Linked DNA regions of Saccharomyces cerevisiae S288C. Each later gene encodes a partner of the first gene's protein in a complex. Each region holds a gene or a part of one and is shown on either strand. Other genes may lie near its edges. The genes, in order: KGD4 and KGD1.

Region 1 (2,786 bases):
GGCTACCTCGATACTCAAAAGAAAAGTCCATGGCAAGAATCACCGCATATAATGTTGCTGATGGCTTCAATCTCAACCAATTGTATAAGTTTCTGCAGGAAACTCATGAGGTTTCACCAAGATTGTATGATGAGTGTCTATACGTTGCGTATACTTTGCCACTTCTACCAGGTAAAGGCGGTTTTAGAATCAAATCAAATTTATCTAAGAAAACAATGGGTGGAAAGACATTAATTGATAATTTAATTGATACAAGCGAACAGAGAGATCATCATTATGAATATTACTCAGGTGTGGAAACTGTGGAAGATGCAAATAATAATTACGAACTAGAAACCAGTGGAAATAACAATAACGCTAATCAAGACACCACAACAGTTCCCGATCATCTACCAAATCCAGTTGGTCAGCAAGACTCTTTTAATCCTATGGAACCACAATTTTTTGCGGAAGAAACTCCCTTAGAGATAGAGAAACGGGAAAGGACAGAAAGAATAAACATGCTGAAGAAGGAGGAAAACGACAGTGATGCAAGTTGTGGCAACGATAATAATAATAAAAATAATGATAAGAGTAAACTTTATGCTGTTGAGGGAAACGATCAGTATGTACAGTCCTCTCGTTCACCAGCTTCGCCATCATCAATATCTACGCCATCGCCACCATCTTCATCACAGAATGATTTTGATCGTGTATATAAAATGCATAGGGACAACGACCATGAAGGCAATGATAGACATGCAGAAATTTTCATTTTTCACTATGGCGTTATTGTTTTTTGGAACTTTACTGAAATTCAAGAGAAAAATATTCTTGGTGATATAACATTTGCAGATTATAAGAATTTAATGATCCGGCCGCTGGATGAACAAGATATTGAAACTGAACAATTCCATTTCGAATATGACAGAGATACCGAGAGACCGAGAATTTTCAATGATATTGTCACATTACGTTCAGGTGACCACATTATCGAGCTGACACTATCACATGCGATTGCGCAATCTTCGAAATTATCAAGGTTTGAATCCAGAATTTCGCCGATTTTAATATCAGTCACAAAACTACCTAAAAGACTAGCATTATATGGTACCCTTGGGTTAAAAAGGGAACAGCTTTTGAAAAAATCAGGGAAGCTCTTTAAATTGAGAGTGGATGTTAACCTTTCATCCACCATATTGGATACACCCGAGTTTTTTTGGTCGTTCGAACCAAGTTTGCATCCACTGTACGTGGCAATGAGGGAGTATTTAGAAATTGACCAAAGAGTACAAGTATTAAATGATCGTTGCAAAGTTTTCTTGGAATTCTTTGATATATGCGTTGACTCTGTTGCTGAAAGAAACATGGCTCGTGTTACATGGTGGTTTATTCTTGTCATTTTATTTGGAGTTATATTTTCATTAACAGAGATTTTCGTTCGTTATGTAATTATTCATCGTCATACTTCTACATAGATATTCATACACCCTTCTAGACGGCATTAAAAATAAATTAATGATATATTTAGTTATCAAGGTTTTTAGTCATATATTTCACCGTTATTACCATTCTTGGTCACGTGCAAGTAAAACCACTCGTTGATTGGCTCCCCTCAAGATTGCATTAAAAGTACAATAATATGACTAAGGGACTCGAATATGTAAATTCATCTTTCGCATCAACAAAGGAGAAAAAGACGATAGTGAAGACTAATATTTTAGCCAGATTGCAGTGTTTCAGTGATCTTAAAAGTCTTTTTCATTTCTAGCCGCATTGAATTCTTTAAAGCAAACCATTAAGGAGTACTTCCCCAGGTTTTTAACCGATAATAAGAGTAAGATAAAAGTACAAGAAGACAGGGAAATGATTGCTACACCTATAAGATTAGCAAAGAGTGCATATGAGCCGATGATAAAATTCGTCGGTACAAGGCATCCCTTAGTGAAGCATGCAACTGAGGTCGTTGTTCATCCTTGCGCTACCAACGGAATGTTACCTGGCAGCAAAGAGTGTATTCCAGTGAGTAAATTCATGGAAAATTATAAACCATTCCGTGTAGTGCCAATAAAGCATAGCGCTAATGCTGGTCTCAGCTCGTCAAAGACCTCTGTATTCGTTAACAGGCCATTGCAAAAAGATGAGCTTGCTTCCATTTTCGAGCTACCTGCTAGGTTTCGGTACAAACCTATTAACGAGCATGAATTGGAGAGCATAAATAGCGGTGGTGCATGGTGAAGGATAGATGCAGTAATATTATGATTTTTTTTTGTTATTTTATAGTTTCTTTACACATATCATTATATCTATGTAAAAACGTAGTTACTTAGGAAGAGAGAAGAGTGATGATATTATGAATTGAAAAATAAAAATAAAATGAGTATTTAATGAAGGTGGGATAAAACTCTTCTAAATTTTTTGAGTACCGTAGCCTTTAATATCCTTGGCGAAGTCCCATTTCATGTTTTCAACTTGCAAGTTTTTCTTGAAAGTTAAACCTGTGTTCTTATCAATTATGGCCAGTGAGAAGTTTCTAGAAGAACGGGCATCTCTATAATAAAGAACTCTCATTGCATTTACGATCGCCTCTTCAGCAACCTGTACAGTGGTCTTTGGAATATCAGATTCTCGATCTACAACTTTCCTTAACAGTGGGTTTGCCATGTGTGCCCCAAAACCTGTGGCCAAGGTGGGAGACGAATACGTAACACCTAGAAGATTTACGTATCTTAGGAATTGATCACCATTAGACTGTACACCAGCAACAATGATGGCATTCCAAAGTGGATTCATCTTTGATCTTCGCT
Region 2 (5,457 bases), on another chromosome or scaffold:
AAAAATACTATTTGATAAAATTGATAAGGAGAGAATGAACCAAGAAAGAGCAGATGCTAAAGCGCAAGGCCTGAGAGTCCCTCCTCCTAGATTGATTCAATTAGACGAGCTACCCAAAGTATTCAGAGAAGACATTGAAGAACATTTCAAGAAAGAGGATTCTGAACCATTGGGAAGGATTAGACAAAAGAAAAGAGTTTACTATGATGACGGTCTAACTGAAGAACAATTTTTGGAGGCTGTAGAAGATGATAATATGTCTTTAGAAGATGCCATTAAAAAAAGACGTGAAGCACGTGAAAGAAGGAGATTACGTCAAAATGGTACAAAAGAGAATGAAATAGAAACCCTGGAAAACACGCCTGAAGCATCCGAAACTTCATTGATTGAGAACAATAGCTTCACTGCAGCTGTGGATGAGGAAACTAATGCTGATAAAGAGACTACAGCTTCCAGGTCAAAACGCCGGAGTAGTAGAAAGAAAAGGACCATTAGCATTGTTACGGCAGAAGACAAAGAGAATACTCAAGAAGAGAGTACATCTCAAGAAAACGGGGGCGCTAAGGTGGAAGAGGAAGTAAAAAGTAGCTCCGTTGAAATTATAAATGGTTCAGAATCCAAGAAAAAGAAACCGAAACTGACCGTCAAGATCAAACTAAACAAAACAACTGTGTTGGAGAATAATGATGGTAAGCGAGCAGAAGAAAAGCCAGAGAGTAAATCGCCCGCGAAGAAGACTGCAGCCAAAAAAACTAAAACTAAATCCAAGTCGCTTGGGATTTTTCCCACGGTGGAAAAATTGGTGGAAGAAATGCGCGAACAGTTAGATGAGGTAGACTCCCATCCAAGGACGTCCATTTTTGAAAAGCTTCCTTCGAAACGCGACTATCCGGACTATTTTAAAGTAATTGAAAAACCCATGGCCATTGATATTATATTGAAAAACTGCAAGAATGGCACTTACAAAACTTTGGAGGAGGTAAGGCAAGCCTTACAAACGATGTTTGAAAATGCTAGATTCTATAATGAAGAGGGATCCTGGGTTTACGTTGATGCTGACAAGTTAAATGAGTTTACTGATGAATGGTTCAAGGAACACTCTTCGTAACGTTTTCATCACCACATGTTTTTTTTTTTTACGACTATATCCCTTTCCCCTCTAATACTCTTTCTAGCCTTTTTTTCTACCTCTACATATGTTTATAAAATATATACCACTGTAACAATAAGATCGACAGAGCGAATATAATTCTTTGAGTAACTAATATCCTTTGGCTTATTCTCTGGGCTTATTAGTGCCGCAAAATAATTACCCGGCGGCGATGGACCAGTTAGCTTCGACCGTTTGCGATTCCGGGGCTAAGGAAGGGGCCTCTGCAAATAAGAAAGAGGCATTACACATAAATGATTGGCAAAGGGACTGCGGGAGTCAAGACCTACATGTAAGTCCGATTTACGATAACGGTTTAGATTCATTGGGTGTGTACTATTTATACTTTAACAAACCCGTGTGTTATTTAATAAGATCATATCTTGTTTGTTTTTCGCCCTCAATTTTGTTTCTGTCACATAGTCGCAGCAGCTGAATATAGATAGGAAGAGAGAAGGAAGCGATTCTCGTTCAGCATCATACTTCTTCCTAATTTCCCCAAATTAAAGTTTCGTTTGAAAGAAACAACAAAAGAGAAAGAAAGCAGTTTTTAGAAAATACTAAATTTTACCGTTATGCTAAGGTTCGTGTCTTCGCAAACCTGCCGGTATAGTTCAAGAGGACTATTAAAAACATCTTTACTTAAAAATGCATCTACTGTCAAAATTGTCGGAAGAGGGTTAGCCACCACTGGTACAGATAATTTTCTATCGACATCAAATGCCACCTATATCGATGAAATGTACCAAGCTTGGCAAAAAGACCCATCTTCAGTCCATGTTTCATGGGACGCATATTTCAAGAATATGTCTAACCCAAAGATTCCAGCTACAAAGGCTTTTCAGGCTCCTCCCAGTATCAGTAACTTTCCCCAGGGTACCGAAGCAGCTCCCTTAGGGACCGCAATGACTGGTTCAGTAGATGAGAACGTCTCCATTCATCTAAAAGTGCAATTGCTATGTAGAGCTTACCAAGTTAGAGGTCATTTAAAAGCCCATATAGATCCTTTAGGGATCTCATTTGGTAGTAATAAAAATAACCCTGTTCCTCCGGAATTGACTCTAGACTACTACGGCTTTAGCAAACACGATCTTGATAAAGAAATCAACCTAGGACCTGGTATCCTGCCAAGGTTTGCAAGGGACGGGAAATCTAAAATGTCTCTGAAAGAGATTGTGGATCATCTAGAAAAGTTATATTGTTCCTCTTATGGGGTACAATACACACATATTCCATCTAAGCAAAAGTGTGATTGGTTAAGAGAGAGAATTGAGATTCCTGAACCTTACCAATATACAGTGGACCAAAAGAGACAAATCTTAGATAGATTAACATGGGCCACTTCTTTTGAGTCATTCTTATCTACAAAATTTCCAAATGATAAGAGGTTCGGTTTAGAAGGTTTGGAAAGTGTTGTTCCAGGTATTAAAACTTTGGTTGATCGTTCTGTTGAATTGGGTGTAGAAGATATTGTTTTGGGTATGGCTCACCGTGGTAGATTGAACGTTTTATCCAATGTGGTCCGTAAACCAAATGAATCTATTTTTTCTGAATTTAAGGGTTCGAGCGCTCGCGATGATATTGAAGGATCGGGTGATGTCAAGTACCATTTGGGTATGAACTACCAAAGACCAACTACGTCTGGTAAGTACGTCAATTTATCGCTGGTGGCAAATCCTTCTCATTTAGAATCCCAAGATCCAGTTGTTCTTGGTAGAACTAGAGCTTTATTGCATGCCAAGAACGATTTGAAGGAAAAAACAAAGGCCTTAGGTGTGTTATTACATGGTGATGCTGCTTTTGCTGGGCAGGGTGTTGTTTATGAAACCATGGGTTTCTTGACCCTACCAGAATACTCTACTGGTGGTACTATTCATGTTATTACAAACAACCAGATCGGATTCACTACGGATCCAAGATTTGCAAGGTCCACACCATATCCTTCCGATTTGGCTAAGGCCATTGATGCCCCAATTTTCCATGTTAACGCTAATGACGTGGAAGCTGTGACCTTTATTTTCAATTTAGCCGCAGAATGGAGACATAAGTTCCACACAGATGCCATAATTGATGTCGTTGGTTGGAGAAAACATGGACATAATGAAACCGATCAGCCATCGTTTACTCAACCATTAATGTACAAAAAAATTGCAAAACAAAAATCTGTCATTGACGTCTATACGGAAAAATTGATAAGTGAAGGCACATTTTCTAAAAAAGATATTGATGAGCACAAGAAATGGGTATGGAACTTATTTGAAGATGCTTTCGAAAAGGCAAAGGATTACGTCCCATCTCAAAGAGAATGGTTAACTGCTGCCTGGGAAGGATTCAAATCCCCAAAGGAATTGGCCACTGAGATATTACCACATGAACCAACTAATGTTCCAGAGAGTACTTTGAAAGAACTAGGTAAGGTACTCTCTTCGTGGCCAGAAGGTTTTGAAGTGCACAAAAATCTAAAGAGAATTTTGAAAAATAGAGGAAAATCTATTGAGACAGGTGAAGGCATCGATTGGGCCACCGGTGAAGCATTAGCGTTCGGTACATTGGTTTTGGATGGTCAGAACGTTAGGGTTTCCGGTGAAGATGTAGAAAGAGGTACATTTTCTCAACGTCATGCAGTCTTGCATGACCAACAATCTGAAGCCATTTACACACCGCTAAGCACTCTGAATAATGAAAAGGCAGACTTCACCATTGCAAATTCCTCGTTATCTGAGTACGGTGTAATGGGTTTCGAATATGGTTATTCGCTAACCTCCCCAGATTATCTAGTCATGTGGGAGGCTCAATTCGGTGACTTTGCAAATACAGCACAGGTTATTATTGACCAATTTATTGCCGGTGGTGAACAAAAATGGAAGCAACGCTCTGGTTTAGTTTTGTCTTTACCCCATGGTTATGATGGCCAGGGGCCAGAACATTCGTCTGGTAGATTGGAAAGATTCTTGCAACTAGCCAATGAAGACCCAAGATATTTCCCATCTGAAGAAAAGCTACAGAGACAACATCAGGATTGTAATTTCCAGGTTGTTTATCCAACTACGCCTGCTAATTTATTCCACATTCTAAGGAGACAGCAACATCGTCAATTCCGTAAACCATTGGCGTTATTCTTTTCTAAACAGCTGCTGCGTCACCCATTGGCCAGATCATCTCTTTCCGAATTCACTGAAGGCGGATTCCAATGGATTATCGAAGATATTGAACATGGAAAAAGTATTGGTACGAAAGAGGAAACCAAGAGATTAGTTTTGCTGAGTGGCCAAGTGTACACTGCCCTACATAAAAGACGTGAAAGTTTGGGTGATAAGACCACTGCTTTCTTAAAGATTGAACAGCTGCACCCATTCCCATTTGCTCAGCTACGTGATTCATTAAATTCTTATCCAAACTTGGAAGAAATTGTTTGGTGCCAGGAAGAGCCATTGAACATGGGTTCGTGGGCATACACAGAACCACGCTTACACACAACATTAAAAGAAACGGATAAATATAAGGATTTCAAGGTCAGATACTGTGGTAGAAACCCAAGTGGTGCTGTTGCTGCCGGTAGCAAATCACTACATTTGGCCGAAGAAGATGCCTTTTTGAAAGATGTTTTCCAACAATCCTAAAGATGAATTCAAATATGAAAAACATGAAAATACAGCCATATAAACACGTAATATTTTTACCTTAATGTTTATGGACAGCCTTTTTACTTGAAGAATGATCTAACAAATATTTTTTTTGATACATTCACATTTTTTTTTTGTTCATGATGTTAGCATCTGCTTAGTCTTTTTAAAATTATTTAATTTAACGTTTTATTTATGTGAACCTTTTTTTATTAGTTGTATTTACTATTTATTCAAGAATCATTCTTTACTTTATATTGATATCGTTTTTTTCCCCCTACTTCCTCCTCTGGTGTATTCACAGCTAGGTGCTTCTCTTGTCCTCATCCGGTGGAGAAAAAAAGTGAAAAATAAGTCAATGGAAAGGGGGAAGGGGGTAGGTAAATAGAGTGAATAAGTTTTATTCATCATGCCCAACTTCTATTAATATATACTCAATTCAAATATTGATCAGGATTTCAAAGAGTATGTCGGAGTTACAGTCACAACCTAAAAAGATTGCCGTTGTTACAGGCGCCTCAGGTGGTATTGGATATGAGGTAACGAAGGAATTAGCCAGAAATGGCTATTTGGTTTATGCATGTGCAAGAAGACTAGAACCAATGGCACAATTGGCCATCCAATTTGGTAACGATAGTATCAAACCATATAAGTTGGATATTTCCAAGCCAGAAGAAATTGTAA

The links.
Region 2: KGD4 (region 1) and KGD1 share a complex: the UniProt entries of both Saccharomyces cerevisiae proteins name them as parts of the 2-oxoglutarate dehydrogenase complex.

Annotation. Positions count from the first base shown.
Region 1 is NC_001138.5:246,678-249,463, forward strand, and holds KGD4 (alpha-ketoglutarate dehydrogenase subunit KGD4), read left to right. Parts: upstream 1-1,845; coding exon 1,846-2,217; downstream 2,218-2,786. Other genes in the region: RMD8 (Rmd8p), read left to right, coding at 1-1,457; PRE4 (proteasome core particle subunit beta 7), read right to left, coding at 2,389-2,786. UniProt on the Saccharomyces cerevisiae protein: Molecular adapter that is necessary to a form a stable 2-oxoglutarate dehydrogenase enzyme complex (OGDC).
Region 2 is NC_001141.2:120,964-126,420, forward strand, and holds KGD1 (alpha-ketoglutarate dehydrogenase KGD1), read left to right. Parts: upstream 1-1,725; coding exon 1,726-4,770; downstream 4,771-5,457. Other genes in the region: RSC chromatin remodeling complex ATPase subunit STH1, read left to right, coding at 1-1,108; AYR1 (acylglycerone-phosphate reductase), read left to right, coding at 5,241-5,457. UniProt on the Saccharomyces cerevisiae protein: The 2-oxoglutarate dehydrogenase complex catalyzes the overall conversion of 2-oxoglutarate to succinyl-CoA and CO(2).